Linked DNA regions of Rattus norvegicus. The protein of the gene in region 1 purifies or fractionates together with the protein of each later gene. This does not show direct contact. Links are inferred from orthologs where the notes say so. Each region holds a gene or a part of one and is shown on either strand. Other genes may lie near its edges.

The links.
Region 2: the proteins of Arid1a (region 1) and Smarcd2 purify together in Homo sapiens (affinity purification with mass spectrometry; 7 studies listed by BioGRID and IntAct, with this or other methods). This does not show direct contact. The link is inferred for Rattus norvegicus from reciprocal best matches to the Homo sapiens genes ARID1A and SMARCD2.
Region 3: the proteins of Arid1a (region 1) and Bcl7c purify together in Homo sapiens (affinity purification with mass spectrometry; 5 studies listed by BioGRID and IntAct, counting the BioPlex papers as one, with this or other methods). This does not show direct contact. The link is inferred for Rattus norvegicus from reciprocal best matches to the Homo sapiens genes ARID1A and BCL7C.

The regions. Positions count from the first base shown.
Region 1 is NC_086023.1:151,261,989-151,267,185, forward strand, and holds the start of Arid1a (AT-rich interactive domain-containing protein 1A), read right to left. Parts: upstream 3,399-5,197; 5' UTR 3,025-3,398; coding exon 1,900-3,024; intron 1-1,899. UniProt on the Homo sapiens protein: Involved in transcriptional activation and repression of select genes by chromatin remodeling (alteration of DNA-nucleosome topology).
Region 2 is NC_086028.1:91,698,974-91,704,062, forward strand, and holds the start of Smarcd2 (SWI/SNF-related matrix-associated actin-dependent regulator of chromatin subfamily D member 2), read right to left. Parts: upstream 3,436-5,089; 5' UTR 3,351-3,435; coding exon 3,135-3,350; intron 1-3,134. UniProt on the Homo sapiens protein: Involved in transcriptional activation and repression of select genes by chromatin remodeling (alteration of DNA-nucleosome topology).
Region 3 is NC_086019.1:191,751,207-191,756,135, forward strand, and holds the start of Bcl7c (B-cell CLL/lymphoma 7 protein family member C), read right to left. Parts: upstream 3,436-4,929; 5' UTR 3,176-3,435; coding exon 3,084-3,175; intron 2,607-3,083; coding exon 2,528-2,606; intron 2,179-2,527; coding exon 2,070-2,178; intron 1,978-2,069; coding exon of another isoform or gene 1,975-1,977; coding exon 1,813-1,974; intron 511-1,812; coding exon 425-510; intron 1-424. UniProt on the Homo sapiens protein: May play an anti-apoptotic role.

The DNA.
Region 1 (5,197 bases):
TACATGACTATTCTCAAAGTTCCCAGCTCTACACAAGAATACAAAAGTAGGTGGAGGAGGACAGGGAAGGGACACAGGACACAGCAAAGGTACCACTCTTGGGGATGGAAACCTGAGGGGGCTTCTCCCCTCCTTGAACAGATGACTCCAGAGGGAGCCAGATATTCCCGGGGAAAGCACCCAGGGAAAGCAAAGGAAAACAAAACAAAATGTATAAAAAGGACCGAAAAGAGGCAGCCATGTGTCACTACTGTGGGTCACCTTTACACCTTAGAAGACAGAAGGGAGAAAGTTATACAACTTAAAATATAAAGAAAAATGTTGGCACGTCTCTATTTTAAAGCTCTAAAGTAACTGACGACAAAACAAATATTCCAGAAACAAGTCAGAAATATCCTAAACCCAGCCCTTAGGAGAAAATCTCTCCCTAGACCACAAGGCCATCAGCATCTCCTTCAATTGAGCTGTTCTCCCAAAGTTCAATTAACAAAAGGAAACGTTCACAAGATTCAACATGTAAACAAAGAGACAAGCCTTGCAGGACTCTTGAACCCACTATGAAATTGTCAGAAGGCTCCCAGCTCTCAGCAAAATATTAACAAAACCATCTTCTCCCCCTACAGATCTCACATTTGCCTTTTAATTTAAAAAAAAAAAAGCCAGTAAAATAATTTCAGTTCTGTAGCTGAACACAGTGTCAAAAACTACTCGAGACAAATGTATCTTCAGAGCTATCAAAGAACTCATTTATACCATCAGGAAAGTCACAAAACGAAAACAAACAGCAAACCCATTGTAGAGGAAAAACTCAGCTACTGTTCCAGCAACACAGAATCTATTTCAGACTGCATAAAACATAACAAGCAAAATAAATCCAAGGTGCAAGCAAAATGCCATCGCCTCCTCTTTTGTTTCAGGCACAATGTAACAAGGGCAGCCTGTCTGGGACTCTGCTCCTGCTGATACAGTATTGCTGCTTAAACCTCCCTCCTCAAGGTCACAGCCAATTTCAGCTCTGGAATAAAAGGCGGATAGTGGTGGCATCGATGGTTTGGGTTATCACTGGCAGAAAAGCAGAGTGTAAAAGTTTATGAGCTCATCAGGATTGTTGTACCATTACATCAGAGGCAATTATAAATGGCCAAGAGCAGAAGATGGGGAGCCAATCAGATCACAGATAGGATGTCAACCTAAGACCAACTGTCTCCTGGCTTTGACAGAAGGATTTTACCTCCATAATTCAAATCCCAAACCAAAGCAATCTGCACTTACTACTCCAATCACTCAGCTGTTTACCAGCACTTCCAGAGAGAAGCCCAGGCCACTGGGCCGGCGGAGACTAAGGAAAGAGGTGGCCCGGGCGGCCCAGAGCGAACCACAGTCGGCCTCAAGCTGCCCCCAAGCAGGCCCCAGCTCTCCCCCGAGGTCCCCCGAGCCCTAGGGGCCACTCTTTAAAAGCATATATTGGGGAACTGCCTAGAGGAAGGCAAGGGGGACAGAGGAACGGCAGGTGAGCAAGAAAATGTTGCTTCTTTCTCCCGGGTTCCTGACACTGCCTACACCCCTAACCTGAACCCCCAGCACCCCCTCACTCGGGCCTGGCCCTTCCAGGCACACTTTGCTCTGCACCCCCCTGGAGACCCCCAGAGTTCGAAAGGACCAGCGGAGGAGGAGAAACCGGACAGACACCTCTGGAAAAGCCCCACACAAAGGCTGATCGAGGGAAGGAGAGGAAGGCAGACAGGCAGCCATTTTAAGAGAGAAGAGCCAGACAATGGCAGCTCCCCGGCAGTGGGGGCCCAAGCCTGAGGGGAGCCCACGGCCGGGGCCTGCTCCCCACAGCCGCCACCCACCCCCCTGCCCCGCTCGCCCCAGCCCCCTCCCCACTCAGCTGTGTACCTGAGGGGTCCGGGCGAGCGGCTGCCCCCCGCCGCCGCTGCTCCCGGGGCTCATGGGCGCGTGGTGGCTCCTTTGTTGGGCCCCTCCCGAGGCGGCCGCTGCCGCCGCCGCCGCAGCAGCAGCCCCCCAGCACTGCGAGGCCATGTCCGCCGGGCCCTTGCCCGCGCCCCCGTCCTGGGGCCCGCCGCCGTAGTCGCCCCCGGGGTAGCCCTGGTAGCCCCGGGCCGAGCTGGGCGACGTGAGCAGTTGGTTGAGGGTGGGGGTGGCGGTGGGCTGGGGAGTTCCCCCGCCGGCCGCTGAGGGGCCGCCTCCCCCCATGGCCCCGAAGCGCTGCGGAGCGAAGGACGAAGACGACGAGGAGGCAGAGGCGCTGGAGGAGGGAGGCGGCTTGGAGCCCGCGGCCGCCGCGCCGGAGCCCGGAGTGCCACCTCTCGGGGAGCTCAGCGCGTAGGCCTGGGGAGGCGGGGGGTAGGCGCTGCGGTTGGGGTAGTAGGAGTTGTACTGGTGGTTGGGGAAGCCGTGGTCGTGCGAGTTCTGCTGGGGCCCGGCGTAGGGCTCCAGGCCCCCGCCACCGCCGCTCTGCAGCGCTGCCAGGCCAGGGCTTTGTTGTCCGCCATGTTGTTGGTGGAAGACGGCGGCCGCCGCGGCGGCGACGGCAGACGGGCTCCGGCCGTAGGGTTGCCCGAAGCCGTAGGCTGGGGGCGGCAGGGCGGCCGCGGCTGAGTGAGGAGGCGCCCCCACCCCGTCGCTGCTGCCGCCGCCGCCGCCGGGCGGCTCCGTGAGGTTATTGTTCAGGGCGGGCCTAGGGCCCGCGTTCCCGTTCGAGTTCTTCAGGTCCGGCTCCGCGCCGGGCCCGCCGCCGCTGCCGGCTCCGCCGCCGCCGCCACCCCCATTGCTCTCGGCCCCGTCCTGCAGCTCCTTTCCCAGCGGCTGCGGCGGCCCCACAGCGGGGCCCTCGCTTTCCTGCCCGGCGGCTGCCTTCATTTCCCCGCGCTCGGCCGCTGCCGCCGCCGCCTCGCCCCCCGCCTCCTCCCGCTGTTGCTGCTCGGCTTTCTTCAGCTCCGAGGGCGGCGGCGGCGGGTTGCCCAGGCTGCTGGCGGCGGCGGGGGCGACCTGCGCGGCCATGATCCCCGCTGTCTCGTCCGCGGAGAGACCCGGCCCTGTCTTCGTCTTCTCCCCCCTCCCACCCCGCCCCGGGGCCGAGTCCCCCGGGCTGCCCTCCCCACCCGCCCGGGCGGGCCTCGCGGGGCTCCGCTGCTGCGCTGCGCTCGCTCCTCTCCCCCCCGCCCCGCCGGCTCAGGCTCCGGGCTGGCGGCGGAGGAGGAGGAGGAGGCGGCGGCGGCAGCCGAGGCGCCGGCGGCTCAGCTGCTCCCGGCTCTGTCGGCTCGGGACCCGGCTCTCCCGGCTCATTCCCCCCAAGCCCTTGCCTGGGAATGAGGGGGGCGGTGGAGGCTCCGCTCCCCAGGGCCTGGCCCCGCTGTGACTCTCCGCTTTCTGCTGCCGGAGAAAGGAGGAGGGAGGGAGGGAGGGAGGCGAGGGGGAGGGGGCGGGAAAGGAGGGAGGGAGCGGGGGGGAGGGGGGACCCGGGACGGGCGGGCTGGAGGGCGCGCGGCGGCGGACGGGGCGCCGGGAGGCAGAGTAGGAGCGCTGCTCCGGCGGGCGCCCTGCCTCGCCTCCCCGGCCGCGGCTCGGGCCGAGGCTGCTGCGCGGCGGCGGCAGGCGAGCGAACGAGCGGGCGGGCGGGCGGGCGGGCGGGCGGCGGGACTGAGCAGCTAGAGCGCCCCACTCTCCTCCGAGTCCCCCTCACTCCGACACGAGGCTCAGCACTGCCATTTTACCCAGCGCCGTCGCGGCCGCCTGAAAAACCCGGAGTGGAGCGCGGAGCGGGCGCAGGCCGTGGAATGGACTCGCTCCCTTCCCCTCACAAAGGAGGAGGGGAGAGAACGAGCCGCGGCGGCGGCAAGCCCTCAGCCTCTTTCGCTCGGCAGCGCCGCCGCCGAAGGCTTCGGGGAAAACCCGGCCCGGAGCCCGCGCCTCCGGAGCCTGCGCCGCCTCTCTCGCGGCGTTCCCATCCTGGCCTGTCCCCTCCTGGCCGATCTGAAGGGAGCGGGCCGCGTGAACTTTACCCGCGCCTGCAAAATTGGCCTGAGCCCGAAACCGCGGCCGCAGCGGCCGGGACCTGACCCCCTGGCACAGGGCCTGGTCTCTTGGCTGCGACTTAGCACCTCCGCAGCACTTTTCTTCTTCAAAGCCTTTTGCAGACCTGCTCTTGAGACCCAGCTGAGTGAGCCCTGCTTTTTGCCCCCTTTGGCTAGCCCCAAAGGAGGACTGACCATTGTTCAAACTATCGGTTCTCCATGCCCTGCCCTCATTAGCCCTCCCTGACAAGGCCTTGGGGGCATGAGGTCTGGATTATCCCCCATTTTACCAACAGACAGAAGAGAGAGAGGACTGCCCAGGTCACTTAAAGTCAGAGGGCAGAAGAGTGTAGCTATAAAAAGTGGAGTCGCCAAAGCTGCATCTTGTCTACTTAGCCTGAGAAAAGGAGGAAAGGAGAAAAGAGAGGCACTTACGTTGTGAACAAATCCAACAACAGGATCAGTGTCAGGAGGTTTGAAATCGAACGTGGTCATCCCACCACTTCTCTTAAAATGGTGGCTACTGATGCTTTGGGGGCTTAAGACAGTCCTCCAGGCAAACCAAGCTCCATTAGCACTTCCTAAGGGAACCTAGCTCACAATGGCCAGTAGCCCCAATCTCCAAAAGTACCTTGAAGATGTAAACAAGCCCACAGAAAAGGCTCCAGGGACTGGAAGAACCTCAGTGTTCAAAAACCACTGCAAAAGAGGGATGCAGAAAATGGAAACCATTTCCTCTTTAAAGAGAGAAAAAGCAGAGCCTAATAGGTCACACAAAACGGATGCCCCTCAGATCTGCTGTCTCTCCTAAGGTGTAAGACTCCTTGAAGTTTACCAGAGACCCTAAGGCCAGGTTTATCTGAGAAGATCAAGGCATTCACGGAAAAGCTCAGTTACCCAGATCTACAGGCCTTGCCAAACCCCACAGCAGCCTTTTCTTCTGTCAGGCTTGGAATGCTTTCACAGGGCAAGCTAGGAAAAACCAGAGGGAATTCCAGCTTCTCACCAGGACCAAGACTGCCTTGGAAAAGCATCAATGACAAAGGCCTCTTTTCCTCCCAGATTTTATAAATGGAGATTTCGGGCCACAGATCATTATTTTAGAACTTGTGGGTTCTGCAGGCCCCTGGAGTTCTGACCATGTCATGGGTCAACATAAA
Region 2 (5,089 bases), on another chromosome or scaffold:
GCACTAAGGAGTCAGACTCATGACCAGTAGCAGAGGGAGGGGAAGAAACACGACCCAGAGACAAGGGAAAGGGGATAGGAGCAGAGCAAGGATACAGTGGCAATTGAGGAGTTAAAAGTGGGAGACCCTGGGACCTTGGGAGTCCTGCCACAAGTCTCTCCTCATCAGGAAGAAATTCATCAAAGCTGTTGAAAGGCAGAAGACAGCCTGTTTCTCTGCTCTAATAAGCCAGAGCCAGAGATTATAGAAGGGGGGAGGGGACAAAAGAAAAGCCTCAGGTGGCCGAAGCTCTAAGACCCCATCATCACCCAGACTTGAGGGTTCCCTAGAGTTACTGCAGATATATCTGAGGCGCTCTGGTCCCCCAAAAGCTCTCCACCAAGGTTCATAAAGCCTATAGCACTGCTGAGCCCTCCAGGAAATCCCCCCGCAAGGCAGCCCAGGCAGGCCTGGAATAGGCCCCACCCAGACATCTGTTCCCCACTTCTGGGGCTTGGGCTTCAGTCCCCTGGCTCACCCGCAGCCTCAGGGGAAGGCTGCTCACAATTCAAGTCCTAGTTTCTTCTTGTCGAGCTCTACACCTGGGCTTTGAAGAGCTGAGTAACTCCGACTTAAAAACAAAACAAAGTCACTGAAACAGAGTCTCAGCCTCTCGGCCAGCCTGCCCCACCACAGAGTACGAGGCCTGCTTAAGTCCCCAGGACTCCGGAATGCAGTAACTTCCACTTGGTCAAGCACCAAGCCCACCCTCTAGGCTAAATTTTATAACCACCAAGAAGATAAGGGAAGTAGGCTAGACCTCATCCTGCCAGCTCTGGGCTAAGAATCTAGGGCTCAAGTAAGCATGTTCTGCTCTCCAGAAAAGTCTGTAGCCGGGATCCTGCTAAGAGCTGCTTGAACCTCAGAGCCTCATTTGGAGGCCAGACCCTGGCCCTATGAACAGAGGGTACTTTAAACTCTGAGCTGAGTGAAGCCGGCAATAATGCACACTAGGCTTTCTGTTTTGGTTTTGATCGTGGTACTTTAAACCCTTCAGGCTGATTGTTCTCCAAAACTAGAAAAACCCTCTAGAGGTAAATGAGCTATCAATTTATGTCAGCAGCCTTCCCATGCCCAGCCTGAGCACACACATCCTTGCCCTTCCTGCTCACCCCCAAGAGCTCTAACCAGGAGGAGCCCCTTTGTCCTCAGACCCCAAGCCTTTCTGGAAGATGGACACCTGGAAGGGATGGGAAAAAGCAAGCAGGGTCTCCTTCAAACTCAACCCATGTTAATGGGGTTCTCCTTCCTCCTTTCCCTGTCCTTCAGAGGAGGAAGAGGAGGAGGGGAGGAAGACAAAGAGGAGGAGGAAGAGGTAACAAGATGCCAGACTCAAGGCCATCTCCTTTCTCACAACTAGTAGCCACAGCTATCCAGCTGGCCAGCCTGGCCTCAGCATAGGCCCAAGGTCACTCTCTACAAAGCATGCAGGAATCCATCTTCCCGTCTTCACAGGAACTTTCCCAAGGGTACTTCTCTGTCAGCTGCATGCCAAGGGGACTGGTCTACATAATTAGTTGCAGGACAGCCAGGGCTCAGAAAACTAACCAAACCAGATATCCCCAGTGTCTGTAGGAAGCTACCAGATCAGTTCTAAGCAAGCAAGACCAAGGGCTGGAATAACTGATGTCAGTACTCATCGGTGAGACACAAGGTCCATTAATCTCCAAAGAAAGCAACATGGGAAAGATAAACCCCAGAGAGTATCCTTGGGACCAAGTCTATCCCTGTTCATACCCAAACTCGTCATTTTCTTTTGAGATAGAAAGAGAAGCGAAGTGGGTCACTTATCCCAACCCTCAGTTAGGTATCTCCTCAGGAATCTGACTCCTGGGTATAATATGCATGCTCCATGAAGATCTATTTCTGAGACGTCTACCTGAGACACCAGCAGAGGACAGAGTAAGCTACACCTTCGGACCTTCGTGACTGCAGTCCCAGCACTTGAGAGGCAGAAAGAGTTCAAGGCCAGCTTTGGCTACACAGCCTAGACTATATGGGACCCTGTATCAAAAAGCAAGGACCAAAAGTGACAAGGATGTGGGAAAGGATGGACACAGTCCCAGGCACTCTGGGAAAGGTGCAGTTCACTGATAGCAATGATCTGCCTCGTGCAAAGCCTGCCCGGGGTTCCACCCGGTGCAGGCTCAGCACCGAAAGGAAAAGCAAAATGAAACTCCCAAATATCCCGGAGCAACTTGAACCAGAGCCCTGGGGTATGAGGAGGAGCCCCACATACAGAGTCCCGCTGGGTGAGTTCCCAGTGCACTGACCACAGGATCTTGTCTCTGCTTGTCAACGACCTTTGACGCAGCAACCTGAGACTGCTCTCTTCCCAGACAGAAGGGTCTTGAAGTACCCTATGCAACCCAAGACCAGCAGGACTCCACAAAGCCTCCCTGCTCCTCCAAACTTAACTACTGGACACTGACATCAGGAAGAATGCCCAGTACAGAGGATATCTAGATGGGTCTGTTAATGCGATCGGGCTTTCTTCAGACCTGGCCATCGCTATCTCTAATCTATCCTGGGAGTATCTGGGCTCCCTCCCTTTGGTCTCCCATTTCGTAGGAAGCCAGGCTTCAACTTGAGCAGCTGGGAGCCATCACAGATATACTAACTCTCTGCCAGTTCCCAACTAGGAAAAAAAACAAAAAACAAAACAGCCAAGGCAGAGATGCAGTGGGACCGACTCCAAAGAAAGAGTAGCCCTGTTTTCTCACTAACGACCCTCTTCCAAAATTTCCTCACCACATCCCGGGTCACTCCCTCACCTCTACTCCGGGACCTGCCTTACACTTTTCAACCTGATTGCCCACAATTCTCTAAATCCCACGAAGCCTCCATCTCTAAGTTACTCAATGCCAAGAACTCCCGGGACTCTTCTAACTGCTTAAGTCCTCCACCGCAAAGGGCTTTCACCCTTTCCCCAACATTGCCTCCAACCCCTAGCCACTAACCAAAGGACTCTGGCCTGCCTGCCACCAGCCCTCGACAGTTCCTCCTGCAGTGTCCCCTGGGCGGCCCGTCCTCACCTGAGGCCCCTGGGAGACCAACCCAGCGCCCTCGAGGCGCCGCCCGCCTGCCTTCCTCACCTGGTACTGCGCCGCGGGGCCCGCGGGGCCCATGGGGCGGAAGGCAGCGGCCCCCGGTACCCCCATGCCTCCAGAAGGCCCCGGGCCCCTGAGCGCCGGGTTGGGCAGCATTCCGGGTCCCGCAGGCGGAGGCGGCGCACCGAGGGCCGCGGCAACGGCGCCGCCGCCGGGGCTCAGCGGGGGCAGCGGGAACCCGCCCGCGCCACGGCCCGACATCACTCTGTCCCGTCCCGCGGTGCAGCGATCCGGCCTCTCGTCTCCGTGTTGAGTCCGCTCCGCGAGCTCTGTTCCGCGATCCGGGACTTTCCGATTTTATTACCGGGTTCCGGGATCTTCTATTCCAAGTTCGCAAGTTCTTCCCAGCCCAGCTTTAGGATCCGCAGCCCCTCTGACTCCGCTCCTGCCAGGGATACTCCAGATCCAGGATGTGCTGCAAGCCCGCAGGCCTCTCCCGGCCTCCGGAGGTTTGATCGCGGGAGTCCAGTTACCCAGAGGCGGTTACGAACTCCCAGCCCCGCCCAACCCAGGCCTCGGCAGGCCCCGCCCCTGCCCGGCAGCCCAATCGAGAGTGCGTCTTTAAATCCCGCCCTCGCGAGACCCGCCTCAAACAAGCACCGCCCATAACTGACGGCCTCAGAGCCCCGCCCTCTGGGACCGCCTTTTCCCGGAGGAGCGGGAGCGGAAGCTGCACGCGGAAGCGCTGAGAGAGGCGCGGGGTCAGAGTTCGAAGGTCACGTAGGGCCGTCACCATGGTTAGGTGTTTGCCGCTTACTCCGGAGGACTACTGTCTCAGCGAAATGTCCGACATAGCCCTCCAAAACAGTCAATTCCGCGTCTCCAGGCCTTAAAAATAAGCGATCCGGGGCTGGGGATTTAGCTCAGTGGTAGAGCGCTTACCTAGGAAGCGCAAGGCCCTGGGTTCGGTCCCCAGCTCCGAAAAAAAGAACCAAAAAAAAAAAAAAAAAAAATAAGCGATCCGCGGCGGAATGGCCGCCAAAAACTTTTTAAGAGCCTATCTCAGGGCCTGAGGAGCCAGGCCAGTAGTACAAGGCGTTCACCTTCCAGGACCCCACACCCACCCACCCATATTGATTGCTGAGCGCTTCCAAGGACATGGGCGACCCCAGATATGACCTAGCTGGGTTAAAGCTTGACTTGGTCCAGCTCAGAGTACTTACCGCACTAACTTTTCTGTGCCTTTAAGGAAGCCTGGTAATTTACTCCGCAGAAAATGTTTTTAGGTGAAGGGATTTCGCATGCTGAGAGAACTCCAGGTAGTGAAATAAGTTTTATCCAGTTTGTATAGGACCTAGTTTTTGAAAAGTTGAGAACCTTTTCAGAAACTCCTGGCTTCAGCTATGTTATAGACCTACCCCTCTGCTAATGTGGTACCTCCTCACTCACGGTATACAATCAGTGCTACTTAACTTCACTAGGCACTGAAAATCCTCAGAATCGGGTTGGGGGATGTAGCTCAGGTTATAGAGTGCTTGCCTAGCATACACAAAACCCCGGGCTTGAACCCCAGACTGCATAAACTGTCTGGTGGTACACGCCAAAAATCCCAGCACACAGGAGGAGGCAGGTGGGCCAGAAGTTCAGGGTCGTTCTCAGCTACACCTCCAGCCGATTCTACAGGAGACCCTATATCAAAAGAAATCTGAGCTTTTTGTTAAAATGTGGTTTATGATTCAATGAAATGGCAGGGTTCAAGATTCTGTATTTCTCTTTTGGTTCTTTGAGACAGGGTTTCTTTGTGTAGCCCTGGATGTCCTATAACTAGGTCTGTAGACCAGGCTGGCTTCAAACTCACAGAAATCCACCTGCCTCTGCCTCTGCCTCTGCCTCCCAAGTGCTGAGATTAAAGGCATGTGCCAACACTGCCTGGCTTCATAGACCACATTTTAAGTAGACTGGGCAGAGACTTTTTCATAATAAAAATCCTTCACTTTGTA
Region 3 (4,929 bases), on another chromosome or scaffold:
CTGAAAAGCAAATCAAGGTAGTCCTTGTAGGGGAAGGTAAGGCAATGTCTTAGGCTAAGTTTACAGCTCAGGATGTGTGTCTGTGCGATGCGGGGGACCCAGGCTCTTGCGCATGCTTAGGAAGTAAGTACCACCAAGCCGAATTCTGAGCCTAGGTTTTTTTTTTTTTTTTTTTTTTTTTTTTTTTAAGTCCTTAGGGGAGCACCAAGATCATTTCAGGCTTCTAGTGCTCTTCTATCAGCCATGATCAGCCCTCAGGGTGGTGTCTGCAATCCTCTCCTTCACCCAAGAATCCAACCTCCAGCTAAGCCTTCTGTGGGCTCTAGGTCCACGTCTCCCTCCTGGAGCCTAGAATGAAGTCTCCCTGCTTCCCCAAAGCCTCCAGTCCCCACAAGGCCAGAGTCCGGACTCTGGCCTCTCTCACCTCGGCTTCTAGCAATTCTGGAACAGGCTCCTCCTTGGTCAGCTTTGGGGGTTCATCAGTACCTCCTGCAGGTGTGCCCCCTGGATCTGTAACACCAAACAAAGAGACACTTCCTGAGCAGCTACTCTGTGCTGAGAGAGTGGACCAGGGGCAAAGGAAACAGACAGGCACTGGTCACACATGATGACATTGTGGGGGCAGAGGGGTACCAAGTTGCTGAGGAAGGAAGACTCAAGTTGGATCTTGTCAGTAGGGAATGAGCCAGGAGGCAAACGGAGGTAGAGTAGAATTTAGGCAGATAGAAATATGTGCTTAGTGACCACAGACTCTCAGTCATCCGCAGAATGGAAATAGTGACAGTAACACCATGAGAGGCTGCTGTGTGGATCAAGTACACGGCACATAGTATGTGCTCAAGAAGTGCCAGCTAGCAGTTTCATTCATTCATTCATTTCTGTGGTACTAGAGATGGGGCTTAGGACCTTAGGCATGACAGACAAGCACCTGCACTGGGCTGCATGCCCTGCCCCATCATTTCATATTAGCGAAAGTATTTGGGACAACCTAGGTGTGGTCCCAAGCCCCATGTCATGGTGTTCTTGACAGGGGAACAATTTCAGTAGCAACAGTTTATAAAGGCCTCTGGTTCAAACGAAGGAATCAAAGGCCACGGGAGCCAACGAAGGACACAAAGCAGGAAAATGGCCGATTGGAATCTGCTCTAAGAAAGCTGTAGCATGTGGAGGCGAGAGCCAGTGCAAGTGAGAAGTGAGAAGGGAGCGCCAAAGGCACGGGAGTCAGCCATGCCTGGGAAGGGGGGGTGGACTACAGGAAGGCCGAGGAGCTGGCGCACTGGCTCTGCAAGTCTGGGCATCTTTCTCTGGATGTTGGGCTCCTCGTGTATAAATAGGAATCATCATAGGATCATTGGTTCCATAAAATGTCAGTGAGGGTTAAATGAGAAAACAAACCACAAAACATTGAAGTGCTCAGAAGAATGACTAACAGATAAGTGGTTCTGTCAGCTGTTAATCTACGGTTACTAATCCCTAGGGTTATCAGAATTATTTAGTTGCCGAACATCTATTATGCGTCCCACATGAACCAGATCAGTGTGTCTGACATGAGATGGTAACAGAGAGGCAATAAGCAAGCAAAAAGTACATTTACATAAAGTTTTCAGATGGCGACACGCTCCCTACAAATCCAAGATGCCAAGGAATGAGCCAGGCACAGCCAGAGGTAATTTCTGCCAGGGTCAGGAAAGGTTCCCTGAGGGAGGCAGGACGGGGGAGGGGGGGGGGGACACAACACAATATAGAAACACATACAAGGCGGTAGGTTCAACTCTGGTGAGGAGAGGACTCCCAAGAGCCACATGGTCCTACCTCTCTCTTGGCCCAGTTGTGGGGGCTGAGTATCTTCTGTAATCACCTCTGGAGGTCCAGTTGGTGATCCAGGGCGACTGGGCTGGGGCGTCCCCCCAGGGCTGGGCTCCGTGCCCTTTTGCAGTGAACCTTCGGAATGGAAACTCTGATTGCTGTTCTCATCTGCTGAAGCAAAAGTCAAGTTAGTTGGCCAGAGGACCCCAGTGGCTTCTTTCAGCACCCAGCCCCCCCACCCCTATTCCAGAATCTCTACATACCATTGAGATCCAGCAGGATGAGGGGGCCACCCCCTCTGGGACTGGTGCCCCTACCACGCCTCTCCCGGCCACGAGATCTCTCTGCCCCTCCTCCTGCCCGCCGCCTCTCCTGAGGGTTAGAGAAGTAAGATCAGAGCTAGTTTGTCCAGGGAGCTCTTACAAAGTCCTTCAATTCAAATAAGGAAACCTAGGCTCAGAGAAGCAAAAGGTGCTGCCTCAGGTTGTGTAGGCCGAGTTAGGTCTTGAACTTGGAGAAAGTGTGTGTGTGTGTGTGTGTGTGTTTGTGTGTGCGCGCGCGCGCGCGCGCGCGCTTCCGTGCTCATGCCCCCTAATAATCGTTACCATCTGCCTGGGCTCCACAGTGGAGTCTCCAAGCCGACTGAAGGTGGAGGCCAAGGGGAGGGAAATTGCTTGAGGTTGCACAGATGCAAGGCATGTTGGGGGTTGGGCTTGCTCACCTCCTCCTGGGGATCCACCACAGGCACCCACTTGAAGATTCGAAGGGAAGTGTCACCCACAGTCACCCAGCGCTTCTCCCTGTGGGAGGTCAGGAGACTGGGTCAGGGAGGCCCAAGGGTGAGCCCCACAGACTGGAGGTCAGGGAGGTGTGCTAGGGTACGGACAGCTTCGTTTACACGGCATAGAAGCAGAAAGAGCCCTCTAAACCCCAGGGCAAAGCATAAACGGATATAACTTGGAGCTGCGGTTTTGCAGACACCTGGGGCACTCAGCAGGGCGCCACCAAGGCCTGCCCAGGCACTCAGGCAATGAAGACCCCGGGCCAAGCTTGCGAGAGTGTCAAAAGCTTCAGGGGGCGGGGCATAGATGAGGGCTCCCGCTCAGGGAAAGCACCACTCCGGACCACGCTTTGTAGACCTCTGGGAATTGCCAAGGAAAGGGGGCGCCCTGTCGATTTAGATCACAGCTGGTGGGCGGGGGCAGCGGGCCAGGAAAGGGCGGACGCGTTTGGAGGAGGTGGCTTGGCTGTATCCCTGACCCGGGGGCAGCGCTCACCATCTCCGGACCTTCTCGATGGTCGCCATCACCTTTTTGATGTCATCTTTGGCCCGGCTCCGGGTCTCGGCCCGCACGGTCCGGCCGGCCATGCTGGCGGGGCTAGGGCCGGGACAGAGCCCGTGGTGGGGCGGCCTGCGGTCCGGCGATCTCAGGCTGCGCGCCAGGCCCCGGCGCCGCTCTTTCGGCCTGCCGTCCCTCCGGGAGTTGGCCGCGCCCTCCCTCGCTCCCCAACGCCTCCGCGCGTCCCCGCCTGGCTTCCTGAGACCGCGCCCCGCCCCGGCCCGTCCCCGGAGCGGCCCGGGCGGCGCGGGCGGCTAGAGCCCCGGCCTGGAAGCCCGGCCAGCTCCGCCCCGGCCCGGGCCCGCCCCTCGGGGCGCACGGACGCACAGCGCCCTCTGCCCGCCGCGGAGAGGGAGAGCTGGGGGGCAGCGGTGCGGCTGGACGCGCGCGGCCCGAACGAGGCGGTGCGTTCCGGCCACGTGGGCACAGGGGTGCGCGAGAGGGACTGTCCTGGTGTGCGTCCGCGGCGGGTGGGCGTCCCTGAAATGCTCTGTGTGCGCGCGTCTGCCCTCTCCAGGCTGTTTGATTCTAAGCTGCCCAACTTAACTTGTTCATTCATTCATTCATTCATTCATTCATTCATTCATTCATTCATACATTCATTCATTCATTCATTCATTCATTGAACAGTTCCATTAACAGCGCCTAGTACAAGCCAGACTCTGCGAGTGGAGAGCCGGCCTCCTCAATCAGAATGGCGGGAGTGAAAAAGACCATGTAGATGAAGTAGCAGAGGAGCAACTTGCCATTCCTTGAATCAGGGTGTGTAATTGGTAGAGATAGTTTGGAAAACTGGCAGTCTTCCATTGAAAAACTTATGCCAACCCCGTCTTCCAACAGTTTCCACTCCCAAACTAGCAACACTCAACAGAAGGAATATGTGCTGCCTCTTTTTTGTCAACTCGTCACAAGCTAGGGTTATCTGGAATGAGGGAACCTTGATGGAGAAAACGCCTCCATCATGTTGCCCTGCAGGTAAGTCTATGGGGCATTTTCTTTTTTTTTTTTTTTTTTTTCTTTTTTTTCTTTTTTTCGGAGCTGGGGACTGAACCCAGGGCCTTGCGCTCGCTAGGCAAGCGCTCTACCACTGAGCTAAATCCCCAACCCCGGGCATTTTCTTGATAATAGTTGTTGTGGGAGAGCCAGACCACTGTAGGCAGTGCCACCTCCGGGCACTTTAAGAAAGCAGACTGAACAAGCCTTGGGGAGCAAGTGAGTAAGCAAAGTTCGTCCAAGGTTTTGCTTCAGTTCTGGCCTCCTTCAGTTCCTGCTTTAAGTTCCTGCCCTGACTTCATAACAGACTATAACTGCAAGCTGAAATAGATGCGGTGTTTATCACAGCAATAGAAACCTCACTAGGACGAAATGTGTCTGTATGAACACCAAGATATGTATACTGGGAAGTTCGGTACTCTTCATAATAGCACCAACCTGGGAGCCACTCAACAGAATGGAATGGAAAACCAGTTACAACCTGTTTATACCATGAGCACAGACAAAACAACCAGAAAAACCAAAGTCCTGCTATGTGCAATGGTGGGGATGGGTCTGCAACAAAAGAAGCCAGATGTGACAACATGCATTAGATAATTCTACATCTAAGTTCAGAACACAAGTACATTCATGGTGTTTTCCGGGAGCTTGTCACACTTGTCTTTAGTCTGTCAAGATGGACATTTATTACTTGTAATTTTTCTTGTGTGTATTATAGTTCAGCTAAAGGTTTACTTAAAGAAAATGAATGCTGTCAAGATATCTCGGTGAACAAGGGACTTGCCACAAA